4 linked regions of the Schizosaccharomyces pombe genome follow. The gene in region 4 interacts genetically with the main gene of each other region. Each region holds a gene or a part of one and is shown on either strand. Other genes may lie near its edges. The genes, in order: utp16, alg6, dad4 and ppk26.

The links.
Region 1: mutations in ppk26 (region 4) and utp16 together harm fitness more than expected from each alone (negative genetic interaction), as found in Schizosaccharomyces pombe (one large-scale study listed by BioGRID).
Region 2: mutations in ppk26 (region 4) and alg6 impair growth when combined (synthetic growth defect), as found in Schizosaccharomyces pombe (one large-scale study listed by BioGRID).
Region 3: mutations in ppk26 (region 4) and dad4 together harm fitness more than expected from each alone (negative genetic interaction), as found in Schizosaccharomyces pombe (one large-scale study listed by BioGRID).

Annotation. Positions count from the first base shown.
Region 1 is NC_003423.3:3,647,853-3,654,781, forward strand, and holds utp16 (U3 snoRNP-associated protein Utp16), read right to left. Parts: upstream 3,969-6,929; coding exon 3,931-3,968; intron 3,886-3,930; exon of another isoform or gene 3,865-3,885; coding exon 3,322-3,864; exon of another isoform or gene 3,178-3,321; coding exon 2,775-3,177; 3' UTR 2,509-2,774; downstream 1-2,508. Other genes in the region: karyopherin exportin-T Los1, read right to left, coding at 1-2,229; ubiquitin protease cofactor Nxt3, read left to right, coding at 4,455-4,568, 4,637-4,711, 4,828-5,943; CENP-H-like protein Fta3, read right to left, coding at 6,622-6,929. UniProt on the Schizosaccharomyces pombe protein: Functions as part of the small subunit (SSU) processome, first precursor of the small eukaryotic ribosomal subunit that coordinates the first two steps of ribosome biogenesis in transcription of the primary transcript pre-RNA and pre-18S processing.
Region 2 is NC_003423.3:4,195,451-4,203,764, forward strand, and holds alg6 (glucosyltransferase Alg6), read right to left. Parts: upstream 6,421-8,314; 5' UTR 6,253-6,420; coding exon 5,057-6,252; intron 5,009-5,056; coding exon 4,885-5,008; intron 4,827-4,884; coding exon 4,626-4,826; 3' UTR 4,298-4,625; downstream 1-4,297. Other genes in the region: Rho-type GTPase-activating protein Rga1, read left to right, coding at 845-4,297; glutaminyl--tRNA(Gln) ligase Qrs1, read left to right, coding at 7,967-8,314. UniProt on the Schizosaccharomyces pombe protein: Probable dolichyl pyrophosphate Man9GlcNAc2 alpha-1,3-glucosyltransferase that operates in the biosynthetic pathway of dolichol-linked oligosaccharides, the glycan precursors employed in protein asparagine (N)-glycosylation.
Region 3 is NC_003423.3:4,001,158-4,008,251, forward strand, and holds dad4 (DASH complex subunit Dad4), read right to left. Parts: upstream 5,226-7,094; 5' UTR 5,178-5,225; coding exon 5,073-5,177; intron 5,045-5,072; exon of another isoform or gene 5,014-5,044; coding exon 4,900-5,013; 3' UTR 4,872-4,899; coding exon of another isoform or gene 4,784-4,871; 3' UTR 4,709-4,783; coding exon of another isoform or gene 4,647-4,708; 3' UTR 4,483-4,646; coding exon of another isoform or gene 4,231-4,482; 3' UTR 4,126-4,230; coding exon of another isoform or gene 4,015-4,125; 3' UTR 3,969-4,014; downstream 1-3,968. Other genes in the region: DNA-directed RNA polymerase I complex subunit Rpa43, read right to left, coding at 1-73; mnh1 (protein mago nashi), read right to left, coding at 721-867, 937-1,024, 1,067-1,130, 1,182-1,235, 1,308-1,334, 1,387-1,424, 1,471-1,496; ESCRT II complex subunit Vps36, read left to right, coding at 2,155-3,558; SNARE protein Vti1, read left to right, coding at 3,800-3,825, 3,863-3,968, 4,015-4,125, 4,231-4,482, 4,647-4,708, 4,784-4,871; cleavage and polyadenylation specificity factor complex subunit Ctf1, read right to left, coding at 5,700-5,810, 5,848-6,797, 6,840-6,870; TRAPP complex subunit Trs23, read left to right, coding at 7,027-7,094.
Region 4 is NC_003423.3:2,763,410-2,771,543, reverse strand, and holds ppk26 (PAN complex subunit Ppk26), read left to right. Parts: upstream 1-3,790; 5' UTR 3,791-3,853; coding exon 3,854-3,944; exon of another isoform or gene 3,945-3,992; coding exon 3,993-4,087; exon of another isoform or gene 4,088-4,105; intron 4,106-4,146; coding exon 4,147-4,187; intron 4,188-4,232; coding exon 4,233-4,389; intron 4,390-4,442; coding exon 4,443-4,538; intron 4,539-4,577; coding exon 4,578-4,722; intron 4,723-4,764; coding exon 4,765-4,914; intron 4,915-4,959; coding exon 4,960-5,070; intron 5,071-5,107; coding exon 5,108-5,333; intron 5,334-5,413; coding exon 5,414-5,945; exon of another isoform or gene 5,946-5,992; coding exon 5,993-6,070; exon of another isoform or gene 6,071-6,075; intron 6,076-6,176; coding exon 6,177-6,224; 3' UTR 6,225-6,275; downstream 6,276-8,134. Other genes in the region: INCENP-like protein Pic1, read right to left, coding at 1-2,072, 2,116-2,273; mmp2 (endopeptidase catalytic subunit), read left to right, coding at 6,548-6,789, 6,862-7,011, 7,079-7,229; DNA-binding transcription factor, MBF transcription factor complex subunit Cdc10, read left to right, coding at 7,954-8,134. UniProt on the Schizosaccharomyces pombe protein: Regulatory subunit of the poly(A)-nuclease (PAN) deadenylation complex, one of two cytoplasmic mRNA deadenylases involved in mRNA turnover. PAN specifically shortens poly(A) tails of RNA and the activity is stimulated by poly(A)-binding protein pab1.

The sequences.
Region 1 (6,929 bases), 890 kb from region 4:
GGAAATTAATTGTGGAACCTTTGGTAACATATCAGGTCCTACAACATTAATAATTCTCCCAGAAGTAAAGCGTACAGCTCCACGGATATCTTCATTAAATCCCATTCTGTCTAAAATCAAAAATATCTCATCTGATGCCTTATTGAAACTAGCAAGCCAAGCGACTTCCTCAGAACCACGGGCAGGAAATCCTTTAGCAAAATTACCGATAGCCATCAGCGAACAATAAACGGAAATAATGTTCTCTAAAGCCGACAAATCACTGGAAAGAGCAGCATTTGCTTTTCCGATAAGTGCATTTATAAGTGAATCACAGTAAAGAGCTTGTTCTTCTGGAGTTAAGTTACCTGAAGAAATTAAGACACCAACAGTCTCAAATAAATAGAGCTGAGAGTTAAAATCACTATTTCTTATGGAGGAATTTAATGTCGGTACTGGCGCATCCATATCAGTAACGGGAGAAACACTTATATTTAATAGATCACCAAGCATGGCGAGAGATGATTCAGTATAATTTACAACTTGTTTCTTAATGCTTTTAACAAATCGATAAAACAGATACCATGCTCTTGGACGAACACGTTCATTTGTGTTATGTATTCCTCTGGGCCCAACAAAGTATTCTATTAAAGCGGGAATAGCCGCAGATTCGTAATCGAAGAAACTAGCGTATCGTACTAATATTTCCATGTACAGAAGCTGAACTAACGGATGAGGATGTCGGCAAACTTGTGAAGTGGTAACTAATGCTAGTATTTGAGAAAGAACAGTCGGAGATTTATCAACTTCATTAAAAAATGCATCGGGACCCCGCAATCCTTCACCAAAAATATAGGTTTCATATAGCGCAAACTCAATAAGCTGCCATGAATTTTCAGGAGATAATGTAGCAGCAGTAGATAAACTAGAAGTTATAGCAGAATACATGTACGAAGAAAATAGACTAGAATCAATAGAGTTAATGGTATCTTGAAAAATCTTTAATTTTTTACGCATTTCTTGGAATTCGGCCTCTTCCTCGCTATCAGGATCGTCATCCCACTCCTGTGATTCATCATATTTCATTTTCTTTATAATAGCTTCTAGCAGAGATTTAAGAAATTCTTTTAAAGAAGCACTAAGTTCTTTGGAAGAAGATTCTTTCCTAAGTGAGACAAGTAAGTCGGACAAAAAGGGGAAAACTGCTGTCGAGGTTTCATCATAATCATCAGAAAGATATCTGATAAGGTATGGAAAAAGATTGTAGAGCTGAAATGAGCAATTTTCTTTCAACTCTGGACTAAGTTCTGAAGGATCGGATTTTATAGCGACAAGTTCAACACCCTGTGCATTTATTAACTTGGCGACATGTTCGTCGAAGTTAGGATCAGTGGATTGTTCCTGCGACTTTGAAAAGAACAAATTCAGGTTAAGAATATTGAGCAGATTAAGTTTCTCAAGTGGCTTCATTTTCTTATTCACAATTTCGGTCATTGTCTCGCATGCAGCGCAACGTAATTCTTCAATTTGAAGGAAAGAGTATAACAAGTTCATACACGGTTCATTAACTATCAAATTTATATTGATCCAAGATACCCACTGTGCATATACTTGAAGGCACAATCCAACCGTGCCATAGTTTTTAGCATTACTATAGGCCAACATCATTTCATAGACGAATGAAACGATATCAGACATATCATTTGCCCTAATTGCATCTTTTACTAAATTATCTTTTTGAATTTGAACATCTGTCTTTAAAACCAATGAATCAGCAATCTCATCGCCGATGGAAAGTAAAACCTTCAAATAAAAATTTGAAAACTCAGATTGAGACGACGCCGCAATAACGCCTTGGAGTGAAGCAAAAAAATCATTCCAGTTGCTTGGATATAGTTGAAGAAACAATAATGTCAATAAATGTTGTACAGCATTACTAATATAAGCTGGTTCATCCAAAAAGCTTAATTCCTTAATATAAGACCAAACACTGTCTCTTATCATCTGTAACTCTAACAAATTGCTTTCATTGTTCCATTCTCTAACTTTCTCACTAAGAGTTTGAAGGCAAATCAGTCTTGTTGATGGTTTATATTTCGTTTTTTCACTAAAAATTTCATGGCATATTTTCCAACCTGTAGATGAGCTTCTAAGGCTACCAATAAAATCTGTAGCTTGTTGCTTTATTATTGGTCCTACAGAAGGATCTAATGCTGCTTCTACTGCGTTTTCGACATCCTGGGCCGACATGGCTGCAGAGGTGAAGGTCAACAATGCTTTGAAGTGACAAAATTTTTGTGGTGCTAAAAAGCGAAGTTTGCCTAGTGCAAGTAGTCGAAAGTACAAACCATCTCAGAAATTTATATGCAAATATTTTATAATTATAAGTAGTAAATGTTCATACACTAGACAATTAATAATATATTTATGCAAATTTTGGCCTTATGAGCTATAGCTACTGATATCTATAATATCTATGATGTACGAAACGTTACATGAGCGAATTTCCTCTAGTGCATGGCAATAAATCCTTGATACAACTTTAATTAACTCATGTTTGTCTAAAGTGTTTATTTTTAAAAATACTATGTTAAACATTTACCAAAAAAACAGCCGTAAACTGCACTTAGCATGTCCAAAGCTTCAAATAATGAATGTTTTAGAACCCAGACAACCTTTTCCCAACCAATATTATTAATAAACAAAAAAGTAAACCCTTATATTAACAGAAAATGCAATGCTTGTGCCTGACTTTCAATTTACAGCGAATGTGTTGCCAAATAGAGAAAGGAAAATTAATAAGTCAAGGGACGTCGTCTTTTAGACGCCCGGGGAACTGATTGTCGATTTATCCAATCCCGTTTACGCTGTGACAGTTTCTTTTCATAGTTCGGCGCTAGTAAAGGGTCATTTGTTTCTTTAAGAACGCTCACTTTAAAATCACCTTTACGAAATGAACGAGTACGTTTTTTAGGAATTTCGTTATTAGGAAAAACAATTTTATGTCCTTTTGGAGTATATAGGTCAAGGCTTGCTTCGTCAACCTTTTCTTCGATTTCCGTGGTACTATTAATTTCTTCAACTTCAGCTGCCTCAAGAATAGCCAAATCCAACTTTGATGCGCTTACCCGTTGGGCATTTCTTTCACGATTTCTTTCATTTTGCAGTCTACGTTTTTCTCTTTCAGCTTTTCGAAGCCTAAAATGTGTTAAAAATAATACTATCAAAAGCAAGGAAACGAAATGAGCAGTCGAACTTTTATCAAACAAATTATTATTCTGTCTCAAACCAAAACAAATAGTATTTTTAAGTGTTTCCCTCATTCCGTTTATTAAAACTTACTGTAATTCATTCCCTTTCAGACGTTGAAGTCTCTTTTTTACCTCATCGCTGCTGCTCTTCAGCGAAACTTCTTCAGGTGCTTCATCAGAATCACTGTCAGATGATTGATTTTGAGAGTAGTGTGAGGCTTCATTATCTTCAATTTCCGCTTTCAACAAATCATTTGGTTTGTTTAAATTTGAAAATGAAGGACCTTTGCTTGGGGCAGTCAATCTTGCCATTCTAGTATTTGACAAATTTTCAATTTTCGAATAAGTAATGCAACAAAATGTCTTTATCAGAAGTTTATACCTTAACAGACAAGTTTTGGATTTTAATACTATAAAACGAAGACTATTAAAGGATTTGAAACTTTTTTGACCTGAATTGGTGTAGGAGGAGGATAACTGGCAATGCGAGTGAAACTTCTTAATGCCACCAAAATGGCAGTGAACAAAATGGATAGGATAGGTACTTTCCTGAGTCTTACAAAATTTATCAATAAATAATTTATTTAAAGTAAGATACGTTGCAATTATAGCACTAGATTTTAACCCTTTAATGCTGGTAAATAAGAAGAAGAAAGTAATTTCAATTTTCGTTAATTAAATGATTTAAAGGCTCGCATACTTTCTTTTTAGTATCATAATTTTTCTAGACGATTGCATTTAAAGCTGTTAAACTAATTGACTTTTGGCAAAATCATTAGCAGGTTAATCTCTCTAGCACAGTATATAGTCGTATTACTATTCAAAATGTTTAGTGGTTTCCAATGAATTAACGTTTCTAATATAATCAATTTGCAAAACAATAATAGAAAGAAATATATGCAACTTTGATCTATGGTAAATCATATGATGTTTATGTTATTTGTTGAAATGAAAAACCAAACAATTTTCTGACCAAAAGGTCTCTCTTTCCATCAACTAACTTACTTATGCGAACAAGTTGAATGTAAAAGATCAACAGAAATATCGTTTAGTCTCGTTAAATCCAATTACGAAATGCTGTAATCACGGACATTGAAAGCAAGGAGATGGGACATTAAAAAGACCAACGCACGGAAAACATAAGACACGACCGAATTTTGTTTTGGGTCTTTTAGAGCCAGATTTTCTGTTCTTTGTATAGCTATTGTCACAGTTAAATAAAACATGACTGCGGAAAATGCCACATTATTAGAACCAGTTTTGGGAAAGGATGAGATAGGATGGATGTTCGTTCAAGAATATTATACATATTTAAATAAAGAACCCAATCGTCTTCATGTAGGTCGTCATAATTTACCAAAAGTTTTTTTTTCTTCAACTTGTGAACCGTACTAACTGTAATACAGTGTTTCTATACTAAAAAGTCAACTTTAATTCACGGAGACGAAGGCGAGAGTATTAGTCTTTGTCATGGACAACAGGTATGCTTTAACACAATTCTTATATGTAAAGTTTTTGAGGTTGTGATATTCTGCTTGCGATTTTCGAAACTCTATGATCGTTGTCTTGCCCAATAGTCATTTTATTAACGTGTTAGGAAATTCATAACAAGATATTGGACTTGGACTTTCAAAATTGCAAAGTACTTATTTCAAACGTTGACAGTTTGGCTTCTTCGAATGGTGGCATTGTCATCCAGGTCCTGGGTGAAATGTCTAATAAGGGGAAATTATCCAGAAAATTTGCTCAAACATTTTTCCTTGCAGAACAACCAAATGGTTATTTTGTTTTAAACGATATTTTCCGTTTTTTGCGTGAAGATGTTGAGGAAGAAGAGGAGTCACCTGATGCTGTTGAAAAAGAGAAAAAAGATGTTGCTTCTGAACCTTACGTAAATGGCGTGCAATCTCAAGAACATTTACCTTCTGCAAAAGAAGAAGGCCATTACCAGGATCCAGCTGCTACAGAAAATAATTTTGCCACAGCCGCTCTTATATCAAATGAGACCGACAGTCTAAATCAAGCTACTTTGGCTGTTCCTGAAGAACCCGTTATCCAAGTTACGGAAGCCTCAGTCCCAAGTTTTGTTTCTCAGCAGGAAAATCAGCTTCAAGATGAAGCTCTGACTTCAAACTCGAAGAATGCTGATGCTATAGGGGCTAGCGATGCAAATGTTGCTACAGCACCTAAATCTTGGGCTGATCTCATAGCTCGTAATCATCCTGATGTGAAATCCCAAGCATCAGTTAGTTCTACTGCGTCTACAACTGGTCAAACAGTTAAAGGTGTTAATGCTGACCAAACTCAGCAGCCAACAGCGCCGTACACTCAGAGTAATGAACTGTTGGAGACATCTGTATTCGTCAAGAACATTCCTCCCGAAACATCTGATGTGTCATTGAAATCTGCTATGAGCATTTTTGGACCAGTCAAGGCTATTGAGTTTGCTCGTCGCAAAGGCACCGCATATGTTGATTTTGTCAACCATGAATGCGTGCAATTGGCTTTGAACAAAAAAACTTTGCAAATTAACAATGCCACGCTGAACATAGAAGAACGACGCCGTCTTTTTTCCGGTAAATTCAACAAATCGGGAGATAAGAAGTCCAACGATAATTATAATGGAATGAAAAGGAATTTTCGCAAAGGTAACCGTGGTGCTTTTGACGGTCGTTCAAAAGAAGTGACTACTTCTAAAAAGCAAAATAATTAAGTGTCTGTTGTCCATACGGTTTTTAAATTATAACTGATTTGTATATACTATTGACTCTTGACTTTTTATACATTAGCAGATGCCAGTTTTCTTGCGACTGTGGAGAAAGAATTACTGAGCTCGCAAAATTTTTGATTGTTCACAATCTATTTACTATATATTAGTATACCTTTGATGATGTTCACAATTGACATCAGCGCCTCTATATTGTCTCATTCCAAAAACCTCCGACTATTATAAGCCTTCCTTTTTTAAAAAAACAACGGTGGTTTGTCCGCTTGATTCAGTTTACCGATAACGCCCAACCCTACTTCATTTTGTAGAGAAATCTATTATTTTTACGGTTTCGCCAATTTTCTCCTTTACATCCGTTATTGTTGTTAGAGTACCTTTAAATAAAATTTTATGTATTCTAGTTTCTAAAATTTTTACAAAGAGTAAAAAAGGAGCTTTTATTAAAAATATTCATAATAAAGAATTCATTTACTCTAAAGGTTAGTAAGAAAAATTATGAAGTCAGAAAAATGAATGATTGGCCCTCAGTATGTCAAATATCGTCCCACATCGCATGTCAATAAGACAAACGGCTCCGTTGAAGAAATTCAAAAAAGCATCACTGGGCTTATAACATTCATAAAAACATACCAAATTTTTCGTTCACAAACAAAATAAAGACTTTTAATAGGAACTATAATTGTCTTCACGATCACCACATAGATCCATGATATATGCAAGTTTTTTGTTCTCTAGGAAACTAATGCCGGATTCGAGCAAAAGTATTTGTGTCACGTTTCTAACGATTTCCCAACGGGCACGCGCTAACTTCAAGTCAGCTAATACACCTTCAATTGAGCTTCTATAATCAGATTCTTTAGACGCATACAATTCTAAAGAAGAAGAAATAGATTGCACTGAAGGAAGTAATACAGATTTAATATTTTCTTTTTCCTTCTCAATTTCTTCACTAGTGAAGGTAATACTGCTTT
Region 2 (8,314 bases), 1.4 Mb from region 4:
AAATAAAAATAAAAAATTCTGCATGTATTTTTAAGATAATGTATTAAGTGATTTGAGTTTTTATAAACTCCATTTATTTTATCTGAATTCAACCCTACTGAACTTGCAAGACGTACGTAGTCTGGGAAACACAGTGGGAAAGTACTTAAATACTTTTTGGGAAACTTGAACAGGTAGTTAAAATCAAAGTCACTCATATTGTCTATGATAATTTCAAACATCTATAAGGACTCTTGTTATAACATAGACTTCGTAAATGTGTAAAAGCCTTAGCATGAGCAGCGAGCAGCTCTAGTATAATAGTCGTTGTAAAATTCAGTGCCTAAACCTACACCTAAGAATAACTATCCAAAAGGAGCATAAAGTGTAGCATTAAAGAGAGATAAAACAAAAATACAGATTATTCTCTAAACGAAGATCTAAAGTCATTTTCGGGGTGTGTACTGAAATCGGTTTCCCAAATGACTTCATGTCTTAGTCGCTATAAAAATTAGGGTCTATTTTGGCCCCTATATCAAGCTGGAGTTTAGCATTTCTGACTTGGATTCCATGGTGTGCAGTCTCCTCTTAGGTGGAAGTCGGACCAACAACCACCAACATACCGCAACAATAGTTAGTCTCTGAAAAAAAATAGCTTCAAAAGCTATAGGCTTAGTTATTTGAGGTCTTACATATTATTAATTTCACTCTTTTAAAAACTGAAGGAATTGAGTCCCATAAGGTTTTCTTGGGGGTGATTTTCGAACGGAAATATCCCAAAGAGGATTAACTAGTCATACTGGTTTATTAAGTGATAAAGGCGTTTAATATAGAAGCTAAGGTTCGTTCAAACAGCAAGGACAGTATGTCCCAAAGGGACGCCAAAAAAGATGGGTTGCTGTACACAACGAATGGTGTATCACCAACACCACCGAAACGAATTCCTGTTCCTTCCCGTCAAAATAAGATAGAAGAGAATTCTACAACGAAGAATTTCCCCCATTCTCGACATACAAGCACTGTTGCTGGTACTGAGGGTGGCAGCTCACTTTCTCGGAGGCATACCTCTGCTGAGTCTCGAAAAGCGTTGCCTAATCAGCAACAATTAGCCCAATCTGGTTTGCTTAATAAAGAGGAGCAGCAAAGTCTAAAGCGATCAGATACTTCTGTATTTCCTAAGGCTGTAAGGAAAGTTTCTTCATCAAAGATATGTGCTTCATGTGGACAAGTTATATCCGGACAATATGTACGTGCTCTTGGAAATATATATCACTTAGAATGTTTTCGATGCCATGATTGTAATTCTTTAGTTGCTTCAAAATTTTTTCCTATTGATGATCCCACTCTTAACAAGCAAGTGCCTTTATGTGAAACAGATTATTTTCGGCGGCTTGACTTACTTTGTGCAAGTTGTGGAATGGCCCTTCGAGGTTATTATATTACAGCTTTGAATAAAAAATTTCATATAGAACATTTCACTTGTTCCTTATGTTACACTGTTTTTGGTCCGAATGATTCTTACTATGAATATGAGGGCAAAGTGTATTGTCATTATCATTATTCAACACTTTTCGCTGCACGATGTTGCGGTTGTGATGGTCCAATTTTAAGGCAATTTGTTGAAGTTTACAGAAATGGGGTATCTCAAAATTGGCACGTTCCTTGTCATATGATCTACAAGTTTTGGAATGTTAAACTTTGTCAAAAGACATCCATAGAAACTTCTAAAAAGAAGGATTCTGAGCTTTCTCAATCACAATTACGCAAACGGGAAAAACATTTAGAACAGAAAATATTTCATATTTGGCATGCACTCTCTTATTTTGAGGAGTATACAGCTTCGTGTATCAGTGATATGCTTCTCCTTGTTTCAAATGGAGAATTCACAAAAAGTGTTATTTGTGCCCAAAAATTTATTCGTTATATCGAGATACTTTTTAAAGGCATTGATTCGCTAGAAACTATACTTTCAAGTTTTCATGCTAAAAGTATGCCTTATGTTCGTGAAGCTAAGTTGCTTTGCAAGAAGCTAGTTTCAATATTTGCTTTACTTGCTAAATGCCATAATTCGGATATTCGCGACGTTGCTATTGTTCAAGACTTTTTATCACTCTTTACCGGTTTAGCTCATTACCTCAAGTTACTTATTCGGATATCGCTTACGGGAGGTTTACGACTAGAACAAGATCATGCTTGTAAGCATGCTCTTCCCCAGTTTTTACAGACCGTAGAAGAAGCTCGATTTGTCGATCAAGAAGGATATGATAGTTCTTCGTTTGATATGCCTTTAAATTTGGCCAATGCCAGCTCCGATTTATGCTATGTGTGTCATTCTGCCTTGGAGGAAGACTGTGTTCTCCTGGGTGAAATTCGCTGCCATATTGGCTGTTTGTCATGTACTAAATGTAAATACAACAATCGGGAGAATTACGATTGGGCGCGCTGGAACAACCAAACGAAACAAATAGAATGTTATTTATGTTATACTGAATCATCCAACGTTAGTAACGACGAACCTCATCCGTCTTTTGAGTATGTGAGCAGGCTTTCTCAATATATTTACTTGCTACGTATTGCCTTGGTTCGATTATATACTATACTTATGGAGAATAACGACTCATCACAGCGAAAGCCGTTATCTGTTGATCCAAAACAAGAGAATGTATCCAGTACTGTTGAAACAGCGAAACAAGCCGAGACTACTGCCAGTTCAGACAGTTTTCGTAAGTATGCCAATACTCTTAATGATTTGCGACATCTTAAGTCTTCCCGCAATCGTAAGGCCACCTCAAATGAAACCCAGTCCTCAAGCAATTCTACCGAAACATCTAAATTATCAAAGAATGTGTCAGAGTCTGGAAAAGACAAAAGTCCCCATTGGCATTCTCATGGTGGTTCTATTACTGGAAAAAGCATAGTTGAGCAAGCATCTAGTCCTTTGGAAAGAAGGATGGATGCCTTTGATGAAAATCGTGCTTTTACTCTTGATGATATTCCTAAAGTCATTTCAGAACAAAGAAACAGGGAACACCGACCAAATGCATTTAGGCATATGCCCAGTTATACTGATCCTTCCTATCGAAAGAATTCTGGGGCGATTTATGATAAAAATGATGGTACGCAAAAGGGTTTGACTCCTAAATCAGAAGATGCTCCTATTCGTTATCTCTCAGATCTTTCTAATTTAGAATTATTATTTACCAAGCACGTAGCTGTATTAATATTGCACCCTCTTGTACGGGATTATTATTCACTTGATGAATTGATGGAAATGAGCGATTTGCGCAAAGGTGGTTTCTGGGAAAAATTTGGAAAGGCTTTCAAGGGGAAAGATGCCGAAAAAAAGAACGTGAAAAAGAAAGGTACCTTTGGGGTGCCATTGGAGATTCTTGTTGAGCGTAATAACGCTCAGTCGACGGTTGGAACAGGCGTGGGTGTCAAGCATATTCCTGCCTTTATTGGGAATACATTGGCTGCTATGAAAAGAAAAGATATGTCAGTAGTTGGTGTATTTAGAAAGAACGGAAATATACGTAGGTTAAAAGAGCTATCTGACATGCTCGATGTTTCTCCGGATTCAATTGATTATGAGCAAGAAACACCCATTCAGTTGGCTGCTTTATTGAAAAAATTCCTTAGAGAGCTTCCTGATCCTCTTTTAACTTTCAAGTTATTTGGGTTGTTCATTACGTCTTCAAAGTTGGAGTCTGAGGAAGAACGCATGAGGGTTTTGCATCTTACAATATGTTTACTACCCAAGGGACATAGAGACACTATGGAGGTAATTTTTGGCTTTCTATATTGGGTTGCCTCTTTTTCCCACATCGATGATGAGGTGGGAAGCAAAATGGATATTCATAATCTTGCTACCGTAATTACTCCGAACATATTATATTCCAAAAGCAACGATCCTGTTGACGAAAGTTTCCTTGCCATCGAGGCTGTTCATCTGTTGATTGAGAACTTTGAGAAATTTTGTGAAGTCCCTCGAGAAATTAGTCTTTTATTAGATGATCCTACTCTTTTTTATAATAATGCGGCTTGGACATCTAAAGAACTATATAAAAGGTGTGAAGAAATAATTTCTCAGATGAGTCTTGACGAACGGAATACTCCAAAACATACGGCGTCTACAAAGAGGAAAAGGCAACCTATAAGAAGAGTTACAACTAATTTAACGTCAGACGTGCCTTCTGGTTCTGAAGTTGCTGACACAAATTCGCTTTCATCTACCACTAAAGATGAAGCTTCACCTAACAGCGATGCTCAGCCTAAACCTCAAGTTAAACCTCAGCATGCAGTCATTAGGGATTCCTAATTTATCGATACACAATCCCATTTGTCTTTTTTTGTTTTATCATATTTTCAATTTTTACTGAACATTAGATCAGCTACGAAAGTAGAAAGCTCGGTCTGGTACCGCTTACAACTTTGTCGTGTTGAATTCGATGGGATGATGGTACTTTAATAATCGTTCTTTTAATAAAAGGTTACTTGGCTAAAATAATATTTCAGGCAAATATAACTTTCGTTTAATATTTGAAGTCATGAATAACAATCCTTCTCCCAGAATTGTTTTAATAAAATCCTTTACTATATGTTGATTTTTCCGCGTAATAATGTAACATAAAATCATTTTGTTCAATTTATGCTTCTTTTTTGTTACGCAAATCAGTAGAAAGTTTACTTGAAATGTGTAGCAAGCGACCAAGAGTCCATAAGTAAATAGTAAAAAATCCGGCAAATGAAAGCGTAACATTAAGAATGACCCATAAATCGGGGTAACGGGATGGTGGTGGGATAAACAGATCAATTCCCAAAATAACAATCATACCAACATAAAAAGACTGCATCCAGTTAATACACCTGGCATAAAAAAATAGCAAATAATAAAAATAGTCTTACCAGTTGGATGAACCGAAAAAGGACGTTTTTTGAGAAAACTACCATGTCACCAATCCAATTCCACATTAATACTAATGTGAAGTATTGTAAACCAAGACCATCTTTTTTCAGTAACGGCCATAAGCTAATAAAAATATTAGTATAATTTAAACAGTAAATATGTATATTTTACCTGAAAACAGCAAGATTGTTTGCTAGAGCAATCCATGGTTTGGTTGTAATGTTTCCGTGACATAAGAGAATAGAAGTGGGAAGTAAAGGAAGAAGAACCGACTTTTCATGAACTTGGAAAGAGAACAAAAAAAACCCCCATGATGCACTTGCGAAACCCAGAGCTAAAAGACGTTTACGAGGATAAAGAAATAATATAACACAAGATGGGAGAATAGAAATGAGAGTAAAAATCAAGCTAATTACTTGGAGTTGATGTAAAGTAAACACCTCTCTAATTTTGAAAACAGTGTTGAGGGTGCACCAGAAATTAGCAACTTTATCTTCCCAAAGACCACGAGCAAACGGGAACACTCGATGAAGAATTTGAGGAAGCAATGTTTTATAGTCCATGTAAATCCATGGAAATAATATTAAGGAAAACGTAAAAACAACTGTGACTGACAACAAGATAAATCTTGAGAAACGAATCTTTGGCTTTACACAAGTTCCCAATAAGTAAAAAAAAATAGGAGGAGCAAAATATAGAGCCATCTGTTTAAACGTAAGAGCTAAACAGAAAAAAAACGTAGCAGCTACATATTGGTTTTTAAGCAAATTAGCGATTGCATACATAACTAAACCCAGCATAACACAGTTGTACTGAAAATGACCATGATCAATTAAGAGTAAAGCAGGTTGAAAAAGGACCATAATTAGGCTAGCATTTCTGTCCACAAAATTAGGTATACGGCGCGACCACCATTTGGAGTAAAACATTAAAGGGGGAACGAGTATTAGAAGATGAGATGCAATAACAGTAGATCTCATGAATAATTTTAATTCAAGACTTTCAAATCCACGAGATGTGACATCAGCAAACCATTCGGGGTTGAAAAAATAATGCCCAATTATACCAAAGAACCAAGAAACATATGCTGTTAAAGGAGGATAATCTAATCCCCACCATTGCAAATCTCTAAAATACCATTGAGACACAGGAGTATGCAATGTTAGTTCCATCCAATGTCTTTGCGCTTCAAAATCGCCATACATAGGAGGTGTATTATACCCAGAATAAGGACCGATAGATATAAGCCATTGCATGAAAACTAAACTCATTATAAGGCATGGAAAAAATAAAAATTTAGATGAATAGGATCGAAAACGAGAAACGAATTGTTGAACGGGAGCCCCATTCTCAAACTCAGATAGCATGTTTTAAGCGGCCGTCAAACGGTAAGGATTTCGCTTTAAAACTTTGGGTTTCTAAATTAAAATATCCAACTTGGAAAGCTTAAAGATTAAAAAACGAGTGAATTTGTATCCGGAATGTTTTAAACAAGGAAAAGCTAATTCAAAGCAGATACAAGTTGGGATAACAGTGAAATGGGTTGGGAACCACGAAGTGGACTATGGGTCCACCATTGCGATCATCGTGAAATATGGTTTTATAATGTCCAAAAAAATCAATTCACTTTTTAATTCATTCTTTCTTTCTTATTTTTTATTTTCAGTTTCAAAGCCTAAAAATTAAATACGCGCAAAGTTATCACTACATAATTGATCCAAGGGTGAGCAATAACATAAAAAATGAGTTGATAAACATGAAAATTAAGCTGTATCACTTATTGACTGATTTACTTTTCTCTTAAGATAGGTAAATGTTAGAATAAATTGAGCTTGGCAAGTTAGGAGTTTGTTTCAGTGATACTAGCCCATTAAATTCAATGAACTGAAATATATTACTTAATTGTTTGCTGTTTAATAATTTAGCTCTAACGAAAATCTTATTAGCAAAGAACATGCTAAGAAAAATAATTCCCTTAATACATTTACTATGTAATTGATCTCGAATTTGTAGCTGCAATTAAGAGCTTTGAAATTTTAAAAGTCTTTTCGTTCATGATAATTTCTAAAGAAAACCCTTGTTGGGCTAAAAAAAAAAGCGACGGTTTGACGAAAAATCATGCTTTTAAAACCAGAATTCATAATAATATTGTAAAATTATTTCTTGGTCTGTTACAGTTTTAAGTAAAAGCAAGCATTATCCTAATATTTTCTTTTTGCGTTGATGGAACACTGTGAAATCTCCATTATTTGTATAATTTTAAGCGATATTTACTAATCATATGTTTAGTTTAATTTTTTGTAAAACGATTTGAAATAGAAACTGAAGTTGTATAGTTACTAACATTATTTGCATTCTCGCATTGTTTGTATATTGTTTACTCTTCAGAATAATTTCAATATTTATGCTTAAGCTAAATGAAATATTTTCAAGGACTCACAAATAGTTATTTATATATTTTATGAAAATTTAAAACCTAATTAGATTAAATTTAATTAAAATACCCAAAAGTACATTCGTTTGAGAAGAGATACCAGATTGAATGAATAAAAACATACTAACTGCTTGGCGGGCAAATGAAATTCATTTGTACACTACAGTGGTTGATGCTGTTTTTAAAATCTAAACTTTTATAGCAATAAAGAATCATCCTCCCTTGAGTATTAAAGTGAAAGCAAAAAAGCCTTACTAGGCAAGAGCTTAGAACCGATAAACAACTATTCATTTAAAGGAAAAAAACAAAGATTCGGAAAGCATTTTGCGTTCTCTATTTTTTTAAAAAAAATTAAAAATATCTCAAAAGCGCAAAAGTGTGAATTCCTGTTTTAATTTTCAAACCGTAAACAAAATGTTTTAAATTTTAATTTAATACTGAAACTACTTTTATTAACTTAACGATTTTTAAGATTAGTTCCCTACTCCGCTGTTATGCAGATTAACGCAATGATAGGAGCTTATCACATGAATTGAAAGATAATAACAGCTTTATTAAAAACTTAACCGTACCCTCTCATTTTTCATCGCGTTTGCTGTTATTGCAATACTTATACATTTTTTGGAGGGAAGTTTTATTATACTAAAATGGACCAGGATTATGAGGAGTTACGTGCCAAGTTTACAAAAATAGGATTAAATGAAACAACGGTAAAAGATACGTTAAAAAATAAAAAGCTTTCTTCTTCATTAAATAAGGTCATTGAGGAAACTAACGTTGGTTCTTCGGGATGTGATAGAACAATTGGAAATTTGCTATTTACATTGGCCAACGCTTCTTTAAAACAAAAAGACCCGAAATCCAATGCTCATGAGGCATTCATAGCTTCCAAAATTGTATCTGGAGACTTAAAAACAAACCTCCAAGTCAATGCGGCTATTACCTATTGCAAGGACAAAGACACGATCGACGAATCTGAGTTCGATAAAGAAACT
Region 3 (7,094 bases), 1.2 Mb from region 4:
GATCCCTGCTGTGTCCAGGAGCAATGGAAAGGTATAAATCTACAGTCTGTTTGTAGAGTGATAAATCCGGCATGTTGGCGGAACGCAAATTTCCTTCATCGACTGCATCCAGTTTTACAGATATGTTCAAGGGTAAACAAAGCTCTTCAATTGATCAACCAAGGTCATATATAACATATCATGTCTTCGAGAAAGGTTAACAGCTAAATAGGCGATACTATGGCATCAATAGAAATGCCAATTCTGTAAATGACACCATGTCACTACAGTGCTCAAGACATTGAAATTTTTTTTTTAATTACAATAAGAAATACTTTACCTTTTTTTTCTCTTATTTAAATGAAGAATATTATTGAGACAAAATAAGTGAATCGCTCATTACTATACAAATAGTGTCTATTTAATATAGCTAAAATTATTTCAAGATTTTTTTGATATCTTATTGAAAAAAAGATTTTGTAACGCGACTACCATGGAATGGTTGCCATATTCTAAGATGTTCCCAAATAAATAGTCAATTCTTAACCGCTTATGATATGGAATTAAAAGTGCAATACGGTTAATTTAGCATAAAAACTGAAATTCCTTCCTAAAGCTCGAACGTTTTTCAGCTTTGAGACTGTACATTTAGAAACGAAACAAAGGTAATCAAACCCAAATAGTAAACCAATGTTTCACATAAAACTTTTTCGCCCTAATATATAAGAAAATGGAATGCATCTAGTTTTTAACAGGTCGGAGCTTAAAATTTAGGGAGATGAGACTAAAGCACAATGCTTTTAAATCTTGAATTAGGTAGTAGAAAACTTTTAGCCCTTCTGGATCATCACTATTTTGAACGTCTGCCAAACTTCCAAGTTTACAGGTCTAGTAGTTTATATTAGCTTAAAAGTATCTAGAATGAATATATTTATGCCAAATGAAGAGCAATCTTACTTCAAACATGATGTGTTTTCCATTCATACGAATTTCAAGTTCCTGCTTACCATCTTTATTTTCAGGTGGCCAACTTTCATCTGATTCTCTAAATAGTAGTTAGTATAAAAAATTGAAAGAAATGACTTGCTTTATGATCTCACTGTCATCTACAATACGTTGAACTTCTTTTAAAACAAGCTCACTGACGAACACTTTAAGGCTTTGTTAATACGATCGAACAGAAATGTAGTACTAAAACATACTCTCCTTTCGGATTAACGAATCGTTCCGATAGTTAGAATTGTTTGCGTATCTAGCTAATTGAATTAGTATTCATGTCAAACCACTGTTGCTAATATGAATCAGAAAATTGTTGACTCTATTCATACCTAGCCCATCACTATGATAATCGAATTCTAGCAAATGTTTGGTTAGCTGCGCGACCTTGCGTCTAATATTATCGCGTACCCAAGAACTCGTGTCCGAATCGACCATGGTGTCCCGAGCTTCAGTCAGTTAGCATTCAAAACTATTTACAGCTTTTTTGCATACTAGTATCGAACATAAAAATCACTCATTTTCGAGCAAATAGGAATATGATGGCTTCGATGACTACTGCTGAGAGGTAAACTCTTGGTCAAAGATACGAAGCATATAGTGATTCACTATTTTAAATAACACAATACACTAGTGCATCCAATTTTTGGAGCTCGACAATCAAAGTTCGTGGGTAATTCAATATACAGTGTATCTTTGATGAATTCGTTGACATTATATATTGACTGCTAAGTCTATATCTGTAAATCAAAGTCTTTTAATTCCTTAAAGGCTTTTTCCAAATTCAGGTTAAATCTTGACAAGTTATTTTTCTGGGACCTTTTAACGTTCCACGACTTATTTCACTGCATTTACAAAAGTTATTCTGGCACTGTTGCATCTTTTATCGCTAGTTTGTGATCCTTGGGTTGTTTTTTATTAAGACTACGGTTTGATTTTTTTATTGTAACATATTAAATCGAGCTTTTGACAGGCTTCATTTATGTTATTTATATATCGACATTCACAGCTGTCATCCAAAAATATTTTTTTTAAAGGTAGCTAAATAAAGCGAAAGTCGTACTCACAGATTATCTCAAATCAATTGTTGGTCTCGACTAGTTAACCAAGGCACATGACATGTTATATAAGTTTTAATTCACTTGACAATTATCATTTTGGTTAATCTCTCCTTCTAATATGGCCTTTTATTTAGAAACAACCCCTTCTAATCTACCGGTTTTGGATCCTTCAGAAGAAATTTTGCTAGTTCAAGACCAGGTAGGTTTATACTTCGGAGATGAGAAAAGTTTTCGTCATAATAATGGAACATTATATTTGACAAAAAAACACATCTTCTACGTAGATTCAGTAGATCCTAAAAAGAATTCATTAAAAATTAAAATCTCCGATATAAGAGATGTACAGCATACCTCTAGGTATTTTCGCTCCTCCCCAAAAATTCGCCTTTCTCTGCGACATGTGGAAAAGTCATGGGCTTGCAAAATTTGTACATTTATCAATGTGGGTGATCCCATTAATCCTTGTAGAAACTGTGGAGTTGCTAACCGATTTACTATTATAAAGCCGAAATCAGATGCGCGTTTTTCTCAAGGATTATGCACCGCGTGTACTTTTCAAAATTATCCGGATCTGAATACTTGTGAAATTTGCGGCAATCAATTAAAAAATGTCGATAGAAACCAGCTTATACAACTCTCGTTTAGAGGCTCGGGTTCATCCAAGTTTTACGAAGCTATCAAATCTGAAACAGATGAAATAGAAAAACAAAGATACTCGAATAAATATGATACTAAAGTTCTGAGGAAGGCCATCCTTGAAAAGTCTTTGCGAATGGGTGGTATTCATGATCTTGAGCAATCTCATGAGATGCAATTAGCCAAAAATGGACGTACCTTAGTACATGCGTTTCAAGATTTAGATGCTTTTTTTTCTTTAGCGAAAGATACTATGTCTCTGGCTGACCAATTTGCTGAAAAGATGGATGGGCTGACCGGCACTCAACAGTCTGACAAGGTACAGCAGCTTTTAAACAAATCGAATCAGTTAGGAGTGTTACGAGGAAATCATTTAGATAATGTTCCTGTTTCGGCTAATTCTCGATTGTATGATATTGAACTATGTAAAAGTATCTCAGAAGTTTTACGCACAAGGTTAAAAGCTGATACCGATACGGTTACCATGACCCAGGCTTGGGCCATCTATAATCGGTCAAGAAAAGCAAACCTGATTCCTCCGACCAGATTTGTGAAGGCTTGTGAACTAATAGATTCCATGGAGGTTGGTATAACAACGTCCAAAATGAACTCTGGGCTTATCCTTTTTCAATTAAAAACTTCTAATCATTCAGGAAAACTTTTGTCCGCTATATTGGAAGTTATGAATCCTAGCACTACGGCTTTGAAATGTGCAATGAGGTTGCATTGGTCCATTGGTGTAACGTTAGAAAGACTTTATCAAGCTGAGATGGACGGTTACATTGTACGTGATGTTTATGAAGAATCTGGTTCTAGCTTACTATACTGGAAAAACGAATTTGACGAATTATCAGAAGAATTGACTAAATGGTTTGATGAATCATAGGAATAATAACTGTACACTATCTAATTAATATTCATTCCTTTTAACATTGTATTTTTCTTTCGCTTTAGTAGATTCCTCTCTACACACGCCTTAATTAATATGACTACCTGTTATGGGTATTCGATTCCCAACGTAACCATTTAATCTTAACCTACACCTATTTTATTTTTAATTCATTTGAGAAACTGTTTACACGATAGTTTCAAGAAATCTAATATATCAATATTAATAATTGTTAAATATGGAGACGTACGAGCAAGAATATCGGTATGTCTAATACCATTACAAGTTTACTAATAATTAGCTTGCTTCGAGCAGATATCGAAGAAAAACTTAATGATTTAAGTAAAAGTGGTGAGAACTCTGTTATTCAATCATGTCAGAGACTTTTAAATGAAATTGATGAAGTAGTATGTTGGAATAATTTGTGTTTTTAAAAAAGTGGCTAACTTGCAGATTGGTCAAATGGAAATTGAAATTACCGGTATCCCTACTTCTGAAAGAGGTCTCGTAAATGGAAGAATTCGTAGTTATCGTTCAACTTTGGAGGAGTGGCGTAGACACCTGGTAAGTTAGCTATATCGAACATTCTTCTTTTGAAGCTTTACAGAAATTACTATGAGACAATCTACTTTTATTTACCAAATTCATACTAACAATTTTCTCGTTTAGAAGGAAGAAATTGGCAAATCAGATAGGAAAGCCCTTTTTGGAAATAGGGATGAAACATCCGGTGATTATATTGCAAGTGATCAAGATTATGACCAAAGAACTCGTTTGTTACAAGGAACAAATAGACTTGAGCAATCTTCACAGCGTCTTCTTGAATCACAACGGATTGCGAATGAGACTGAAGGCATTGGTGCTAGCATTCTTCGTGATCTTCATGGTCAAAGAAATCAATTGGAGCATTCTTTAGAGATGGTAAGTAATTATTGCAAAATAGATAAATGAATCACTATGATTGATAAGATAAAATGCGCGATTTATACGCATATCTTAGCCAAGCTTATTAGCTCCATGGTTTAAAAATATAGTTTTCTTTTATGCTATGTATAAATTTCTTTGAGATTTGTTAACCAAATTAGCTTGGAGATACGTCTGGACACCTTGATCGAAGTTTAAGAACTCTGAAGACAATGGCAAGAAGGTAGGACACAGATAGACATTATTATAGTGATATGAATCGTCATGTAATGATCTTTTATACTAACTCATTTTAAAGACTTGCCATGAACAGATTTTTCACGACAGCAATAATTGCAATCCTTGTTATATTAATTTTGCTTGTGCTTTATAGCAAATTTCGTTAGCACAAATATTAAAGAACATCATATAACTTTAGATGGGATCTTTAAGCGTATGGGTCTCTTCCAAGTGGAATTTTACGTTTCTTGCATAATTCGCCCACATTTGACTAGCTAGCTCAACATTCATATTAGACATATTAATTAGCTTTAAGAATGTCAGCGGAAAGTTGATATGTACACAAATATTTGACGTCGTAATCTTACCTGTAATGAATGATTGAGTCTTGTAATACTTTCATTCAGCTTTTCTACATTACTTATGATCCTTCCTAATAATGCGCTTTGCTGTTCTTCCATAGGATTATTCATTTTCGATGGTTTTCAATTTCCTAAACTGTAATTATGTAGTCTGTACTTGGAAGCTTGCATGAGCCAGTGCTGACACTTCGTAGTTGGAAAAATTGAACTACAATTTTAAACCTGTGATCTAAATTTTTTTTAAGAAATTGAACTTTTTGGGAATTTATGAGTTGCATATTTATTTGAGAAGTATCAGTTGATGTTACCACCTACATTTTTATAATATATTTACGATCAAAAGGGCAGTTTAAAATATAAAAAATAATAAATTTTAATATGAAATATTGATTGAGTAAATTTTTATAAAAGGATATTGAATAAAGGATCCAAGAAATAGCCCTCCATAACGCGTATAGAAACAAATATTTATGAGAAGCAAAACATCCGAATAGTATAAAGAAGTGTGTAGTATGAAAAGGTATCAGTGCTAGGATATGGTTTATAGTGTTGTAAATAAATTATCTTGCACACCAAATTTAAGTACTTGGTCAAATGCTAATATTTAATCTCTTGATATTACTAAAATTAGACTTACTGTCGAAAATGCTGCCGACGAATGCTAAGAATTTGATCCCTTTGTGCAGGAGGTAATGCGTTAATTTGCTCTGGGGTAAGAGCCAACAATTGTTGTATGAGGGCCATCTGTTTTGTTAGTGCAAAAAAAAAAAAAAAAACGTACCCGCTTCCCTTCATTGCCCTGATCTGAACCATTCGCTTGTTGACTTTTATGGTTACTAGAAGGTATTTTTTGGGGAACAGAAGGAGGAGAGGAAGTTGCTGAAGCTGGTTGATGCATGTTTTTATTCTTCACTGCGACTACTACTTGTTGTAAGACATTTGCGTCAACTAAGTTCATCAGCAACATAGCTTGAAAGGCGGCGTATGGTAAAGCAGGATTAGCAATTAGAAGTCGTCGTGCCTCTTCTGGTGCTATATGAACTACAGTCTGAAGTTTGGACAACATATTGAGAAGTTCCTGAGCTGAGAAGGTAGATAGTACCTGAACGACAGACGGGGCCAATGGGATAGAAGTCGGATTCGATATAGAAGTCCCGGAAGTGTAATCCCCTTTGTTTTGTGAAGATTTATTATACTGAAAGGTTCTTGCATTGTATGCATCTGTATGGGGTTGACTGGCAGAATCAAAGTCGGAGGTCATACTGTTGTGAAAATTATAAGCAGGAACAGAAGTAGAATTTATATTTTTATTAAGATTAGTAGCCATTGACGACGAATAAATAGCAGGACTTGGCATCCCACCTCCTTGTGAAGCAGGCAGGGAAGATGTTGAATGCAAAACAGGAGGAATAAAACGGGAATTATAAGAACTTTCATGAGCATTTTGCTGTTCCATGTATCTATCAGTACGCTCCGTATATTCATAACTTTGATTCCTTCTGGGATCATTTGATGGAAACTCGACACGAATCTTACGAGGTCCTAATTCGGAATTATTTAACTTTCGTACAGCCATAGCGGTAGTCTCACTATCAAAAAACTCACAAAACCCATAACCCTTCCCACTACCTGTTTCCGGATCAAGTACAAGTTTGAAAGTCTTTACTGGTCCAACTTGATTAAAGATTTCAGTCATTTGCTGTTCCGAAACATCATATGGAATGTTACCAACTAAATTAGATTAGCAAAACCGAATATTTAAAGAATTATTACCAAATACGACATTCCCGGCTGTCATCGACATGCTGGTAGTCGCGTCTTTCGGTTTTGCCCATTCAACCAACGTACTGCTACTACTACTACTACTACTTAAATCAAAGCTTGTTCCTACGCACAGCGAAAGGCTGCTAATTTTCAACTCATATTTATCTATTTAAATATCATTAATACTCATATACCTATGCATGCATTAATCATCATCAATAGAGCCGGTTCATTGATTTTTCAAAGAGAGTTTGGCTCATCACC
Region 4 (8,134 bases):
TATGCCTTGAAGTTGCACCGTTGTCGGTTAACGGTTTCTTCTTTCGTAAATCTTCTTGTCTTTTTAACATATTTGAATGCCATGAAGCATTCACATTTGATGGGTTAGTAACAAGTCTTTTGGTCGTTGGTTTTTCTGATTTTTCCTCAAATGGCTTATTTGAGTGCATGCTTTTACTTGATGGTATAGCATCTGGTTCAGAACGAGGTTTATCGGAAATAGTATGTTCCATATCCCTAATGTTAGATGAATTGGCTGATGTGACAGTTTTGGTCTGACGACTTGGAAATTCGTTGTTTGATAACTCTCGTTCTTTACCATAGAACTTTTTGAAGCGATGAGTTTCGTTTTCAGAAGAGCGGCTTTCCATATTTGAAGCATTTGCTGCTCCATTTTTTGCTTTTCGCTTTTCAGTTTGCTCAAGTTCGCGTTGAGAGGCTGTGGCCACACGAATTGCAATCGGACGTGAATGCGGAGCAAAGTTGTGATCAGAATTTTGACGAGAATCATCATGCAATGGTTCAGATAACTTGTGCAGAGATTTTTCAATAAATTCCTTCTTGGAAGGCGGCAAAGAAGAGTCCGTATTTTCGTTTGCATCCGATTTCAAAGCGTTTGAGCTTGGTCTAGAATTTGAAGAATTAAAATCATTTGACGACTTTCTGGTTGAAAGCCTTGTGAATGTGCTTATCAGGGGGATCTTAGGCGCTTGAGTGATTACAGCATGACTTTTTGCAGGGCTTAAGGAAGACTCGTCGTTTTTATTATTCAGCTTCATTTTAGCAAGGTGCAAATCCTTAGCTGCAGAGTTTTTAGCAGCATCTAAAACTGCATTAATCGGTTTCTTCGTGGGCGGAGTCGAAGGAATTAATCTTTTATTAGAACTTACTTCTTGTATTTTCTGCCTTAATCGTTCGGCACGATCATAAGTTTTCAGTTCATAGTGGTTTTCATTGGAGGCAGTTAGCTCGTTCAATTTAGCAATAGAATCGGGAATTTTGGCTTCAAAAAAGTCAAACTCTTGACTTTTGGCATCACTTCCAGGTTGAGAAGATACAGGTAGTCTCTCTTCATTGGATTTTAATTTGGCCGTTAATGCCTCAGCTTCTACTGCGTTGGATTTATCGAAGGAAGTAATTTCGGGAGGGGATTCAAAAATAGTTGGATGAGGTTTAAGCATTTCATTTTCGACAGACCTTTTTCTTTCCTTGGAAGAAGAAGTAACAGTTTCAGAAGAGAAGGCGACTCCTGAACTTCTTTTACGAGTTTTGTAAGAAGTCGATAACCTAGTAGACGACGTGAGCGATTCCTTGGCTGATAAATCTGTCTTGGCGGGGATGACTGATGAAAGGAATTTTCGAAATTTAGAAGGACTAGAGGACACATTGGTATTTAACAAAGAAGAAGGAGCATCAGAAGTAGTTGAAGGTAGTGCCTTGATAGGTTCATCTAATGAAATTTCAGGATTATTCGTTAAGTTGTCTTTAGTACGCCGGCGATTTAACTGATTTATAAATGAATTAGTTGATTCCACACGACTGTGTAATGATGCAGGTCTTTTCAAAATCTCTTCACGTTTAGGTAAAGTGACAAAAGAATAAGCGGGGTGCTTTTGCTTTGGTAATTTATTAGGACTGTCAGCAGTTTCTGATGGGGAAGGCGAAGTTTCACGAAGAGGAACGTTCCATTCAGTAAAACGACGCTCTACTGAAGTAGGACTAAAAGCTGGCAAATTAGTCGGCAATCTCGTTTCTTTAATAGGAGATACACCACCTTTAGTAGATTTATTAACTATATCATCTTTGACATATTCAGAAGATAGCTTAGTAGAATCCCTATCATCATCAAATTGGGTTTCTGTATTAGTAGCAGTATGTAATTCTTTAGGTTCCTTGACTGTATTGGATTCACCCGACTTATATCCTTCAACAGCAGCTTCCTCAAGCTGATGTTGAATAGATGTTAACCGCATGCGAGGCGTTGGTAACGCACATCGATGTACAGGACTTAAACGAGGAGTGGAGTACTTCTCCTTTATCTTGGTAGGTGTTCTCACTAATTCATATATATCCCTAACCATCTAATTAGCACATATGATAAACAACAAATGCGTACGACTCTAGCTGTAACTTGGAAACTTCAAGCATGTGTTCATTCAACCAGTCCATGGTTTCAGATACAAGGAAGAAGAATTCTTTCATTTTTCCATTAGTGAGTTGTTGGGAGTATTCCAACTCCTTATTAAACCATAGTTCTGACCCATTAGAGCCCATCCTGTTTGGTTACATATAAAGAATGAGCTAGTTGCTGGAGAGTGGTCGGTGGTGGAAGCAATCAAATGTCAACAATATACAACAGTAGTTGTATACCTAAGCTTCCAACTAAATTTATAAACAATTATGCTTTCCCAATTTACAAATGATCAAAAGGTTTATTGTTTTCAAGATTTAAATGTAAATATCAAGTTCCGATGTTATAAACAATTGTTAGGAATATAGACATCGGTTAACGACGAAGAGGTTTTTAACGAAGTAACACTTTAAGCCATACATTTTTTCGAGATGCCGATGCTGATTTTATTGCAGTAATTATTGAGTGGAATAAGCAACCCAATGCATGCAACCTATCGTTCGTTTGATCAGCAGACAGAGTTAACTAGTTTGTGTTCAAATATCTTTCACCATTTGTTTATGTTTAGTATATAGCAAGCGGCACAGACATAAAAGTTTCTATTGAACGGCTACAAGCAATTTGTCATGCTTTATACGCTTGTCATTTATTGGATTTTTTTAATGATTCGATCTACAATATTCACGCATTTTCTCCATTTTTTGTTCACATACTTGCCATAGCTTTTAAAAATAATTTTTCCAATCAGACAGAGATAAATGCCAAATATCATACACTTGTCTTTAAGTTTTCAAGAATGTATTAAAACATGGGTAACCATTCTCAAAAAATTAAAAGCTTATTCAATACAAAATTCACCGTTCTCTTTTCATTTTGAGCTATTTTAACTCAATTAGACTTTTCATTCCTTACTCTGTTTTAGAGGACAATGTAAAGAGAATAGGGTAATAAATATGCTTTTATAATTGACAGTCTGTTATTATTCTTTTTAGCAATTTAAATATTTTTCTGAATTCCTAAAATTTCTTTAATTAATTAAATAAATAATATATACTTTTTTGTCTGACAGATCAAAAAAGGAAGGGTGTCCGAGTGGTTATGGAGCTAGTTTAAGGCACTAGTGCGAAAGCTCGTGGGTTCGAGTCCCACCCCTTTCAGTAATTTTTTATTGCATTTTATAGCAAAACAGGGGAGTGTGAATTTGGCAAGCTGTTAGTTTCTATAGGGAATTTATAACTGCGAACTAAGTTTTCTTACTTGCAATGGCTATATATGGGAGGCCGAATTGCTTGAAAAACATAGCTTTGCATTTGAAACAATTCGCAAAAGTTGGCACTAAGGAAGAAGTTAAGATAAAAAAAATTCAGTTACTTTGGTTTTATGATTTGCAATTAAATTACAGTGATCGCAGAAAGATAGCAGCATTACGAAGACATGTTCAACTGCTACATAACACTTGCTATTGTTAAAGTTTTCGAAATAGTTACTGCCCGTTACATGTAAAGAACAGATAAAAAATAAATTAGAATTACTGTCTTCTCAAATGCTTAAATATTACTACTATGAAATTGTTATATAAACAAAATGTAGCGTTGCAAAGTATTACAGTAAACTTCGTTGTGCTGCATTATTAGTATTGTCCGGGACTTACTGATTCCACGACCTGTAACTAAATTGCTATAATCTCAGACTGTTAGCTTGGGATTGCCTGGAAATTGACAGGATGAGTGTGAGGAAGAATTCTCCTGCAAGCCCAAAGCCAACTTCCCGTTCTAGGGAGAGTTCCAGGTCTCCGTCAGTGACTGATTTGAAAGGTAAATGGAAATTCAAAGCAAAACTTGACTGACCACCATTTTTAATAGACCATTCCAAAGCTAAACGAACATTATGTAGAAATATCTTACTTTATGGATCCTGTAAGCATTCAGAAAATGGATGTGCTTTTCGACATGATGGTGTAAGTATAGGCGTATTCTCTTAACTTCAGAGAAGCTTCTTGCTTACGATTGTTTGTAGCCTTTCATCCCTTCTTCAGAGAATTTGGAGCAATACTCAGTGTATGATTTTTTTTAAGGCTTTGTACGTATAATTAACCTCGCTAGTAAGAAAAAACTGAATGCTGCGTCGGCCTCTTTTCAACCTGTTCGCGCTTTACCAGTAAAGGCTGCTGGCGCTGCAGTATTTGTTCCTAAATCACAAGAAAAATCTCTTTTTCTATCTAGAGAGCGTACCCCTGTTGCGCTTTCACCAGGTAGTCATGTATGTCTGGCTAACAGCTTATATTTTTCTTACTAATTTTACTGTAATTTTAGGCTATTAATCCTTACAATAATGCATCTATGTTGGTCAATGAGCCTTTTCATGATGACTCTGGGGTTTATTATACTCGTCAAAACCAGTTTAAACCCGTAAGTCTAAAGCCTTATTATTGTTGTTGACAACAACAGACATTGTACAATTTATATAATCCGCAACCTTCTCCCATGCCAACTTTACTTCCTTATGAAAGAACTGTAAACGGTCTATTTATTGATGATACGACTAGAGAAAGAATCGAGAGAAAGAGCGAGGCATCCCGTCAGACAATTTCAGGTACTTAATTTGTGTCTAGCTTCCTTTATACTAATATTTTAGCGCTTCCGTCTATTATATCTTCATATACTTCTTTGGCGCCACTGAATACAAAGCTTTATCGGTATAAAGAGCAAATTGGATTCTCTTCTTGGACGTACAAATGCACTTCTTCCATCGATGGGAATGCTTACGTTTTGAAACGACTCCAAGGTAACCTTCAGATTCATAAATTGCAATTGCTAATATATTTAAAAGACTGTTCAATTAATATTGATACGTCGACTGTCGACAAGCTTAAAAATGTTTTTCATCCAAATATCGTACCATTCCATTCTGCTTTTCATACTGATACATTTCATGATTCTTGTAAGTTTATTTTACTAAACCTTACTAATTAATCAAGCGTTACTATTAATTTATGATTTTTATCCGTGTACTACAACCCTTGGTGAGCTCTACCTAAACAATTCTAAAAATTCTGTCAAGTTGGAGGAAAATAGAAAAATTCCAGAACGAGAGTTATGGAATTATTTTTTCCAGCTTACTATCGCTTTGTCATATCTACATAAATCCGGGTTTGCTTGCAACAAGCTTACTCCGTCGAGAATCCTTGTGGATCAAACTGAAAGGTATTTTTTTTTGAACATTTTTTATGTTTTGATGGAATACATTTCTTTAATTCATTAATGACTTATACTAACGTGTAAAGGATTCGTATTAGTGGTTGCGCTGACTATGAATTGGTAGTGTCAAACAAGCCTCCATTAGAGGAACGAAAGAAGCAGGATTTTGTAGATCTTGGAGTTGTGATTGCGAATTTAGCTACTGGAAGAACTGATATGGACATGTCTTCAGCCGCACGAGCAATTTATAGTACATATTCGAGGGAATTTTATAAAGCGGTTTTATACTTTGTATCGGAAGTTCCTGAGGATAAAAACTTGGAGTTGTTTTTGCAAAATCACATAGAAAGTTTTTTCCCTATAATGAGTTCACCATACGTGGAATGCGAAAAAATGGAGAGAAAAATTTCGGACGCTTTCCAACACGGTCGATTTTTTAATATTTTGTGCAAGATTATGTTTATTATTGATAATAATAGAGCTTCTCGTGAATATCCTATCGCACGAGAAAAAGAAATTTCATTAATCTACTTATTACGAGATTATCTTTTCCATCAGATAGATGAAGATGAGTGTCCTGTGATAGATTTATATCAAGTGCTGAATCGCCTGGGAAAGGTAAGTTTTTTACATTTTTCTCATTATTGCATTTATTAATTCATTAGCTTGATGCCGGTATAAATCAAGCCATCGCATTAATTTCCCGAGATGAACTTGATTGTGTTTCAGTTTCTTATGGGGAGGTAAGTATTTGCTCAAAAAGCCATAGTGGGTGCTTAGTAAATTAGACTACTTTTCCACACTATATAGCCTGTTTGTTTGCAAAATTACTAACAATAACAAATGTAGCTAAAAGCTTGGTTGGACAACGTTTACGAAATGGAAATAAATTCTTAAAATAAAACATTTTTCTTTACAGAATATTTATTTGTTTTTTTGTATCTATTACCATGGTTGTTAATTTAAGTAAATAATAGTTTTCGCTATAATAATATTAGAAGGAAGCTAAGCTTAATGTGGTTTTGAATTACCTACTGCAACACACCGTATTGAAACAAAAACGATCAGGAATAGAAGCCTGACACTTATCAGATAAAATTCATTAATACGTTTTCCTGGTTTAATTATTAATTACGGAAACTCCCATGCTTGTTAAGGTACATACAGACGGTTAATCATAAACTTCTTAGAGGAGAGAGTTTAGCAGTTGTCCTCAAAAAATGGCAAACCCTTTCGTTCGAAATCAATCTTTTAAATCAGTATTTTTTAAAAATTTAGTCGGAATTACCCTATGGGTACCCGTATTAATGTTCGTTGAACAACATGTAGTCAGCGTCGGTACAATTGAAGGTAGATCTATGAAACCAGCCTTTAACCCTGAGACAAACATGCTGCAGAGAGATAGGGTACTACTTTGGAAATGGAATAAGGATTACAAAAGAGGAGATGTAGTTATACTACGGTAAGTTCTTGGATCGTTGCAGGGTCTTTCGGTACTGAGTTTCCCTTTTTATCGTTACTAATAAGCAACAAGCTCTCCAGAAAACCCAGAGGAACTATTGGTAAAAAGAGTTCTAGGAGTAGAATACGATATCATGAAAACGAGACCTCCTAAAAAGTTGTCATTAGTACCCGTTCCCGAGGGACATGTGTGGGTCGAAGGCGATGAACAATTTCATTCTATGTAGGTTTCCAACAATTGTTTTTTTACTTTTTCGTTTTCTTCTATAGAGATATTAACTAGTTTACAGTGATAGTAACAAATTTGGCCCAGTATCGACAGGACTCATCACTGCCAAAGTGATTGCAATTTTGTTTCCCTTCTCTCGTGCAGGGCGTATTGATCATGAAGGTTTCCGAAAGAATGCAGTGTTTTTAAGTGGAAAACGTTCTGTTAAGTAAGCTGCACCACAGTGAACCTGTTTCCTTGACAGTTTAGTTCCATGCTGGTTGGTGCTTATTTACATTTCTTTTAAGGAACACGTTATCCTTAAATTTAATTTATTTCGACGCGTCGCGTTCTATATATGACGTCATTAATATGTCTATCTATTTACCTATTTGAAAAAGATGGAAGTTGGAAGCTACTTTGTATTAGAAATACCAATAAAAAAATATAATTTTTTCATACTCAACATCAAAACTTTTATTTAGGGAAAATTAGAATTGACTGAAAAATCCGTCTCTTTTGCATATCCCGAAACAGTAAAGTCGTTGAGTATAGCAAAGTTGGAAATTTTTCAACAGGGTATTTGAAATGAGAAAGAATTCCATTTCTAAGTAGCCTTTAAATAAAACCCCCAGAAGAAACGAACATTGAAGTAGTCCTTTGTTTTCCTTAGGAAGCCTCATATATCGTTACTTCGAATACGGTCTAACGCCGTACCAAATGTATACAGCTGCGTGAACCTTCCCAGAGCGAATTTGTGTATAACACGAAATCCGAAAAAATTACTTCTATTTATTTGAAAAAGAAAGGAATTCACAATCTCTTAAACAAACCAAGTGGTGAGGAGCTCGAGTCTTCTTTCATGGTCAGTTCAGCACCCTTATTTTCGAGAAAAACGTGCTGCCCTTTATAAAAAATTCGATATTTTTTCGGCATTTTTTATTTTAATATACTATAATGGCTTCAGCCAATTTTATTCGCCAGTTTGAGCTGGGGAACGATTCTTTTTCATACCAAAAACGCCCAGAGGATGAGCCATCACAACCCCTTTCAAACAGAAATATAAACAAACTAAACGATTCATCTACTTTAAAAGACTCTAGTTCAAGGATTTTTATTAACTCCCAAGTTTTACGTG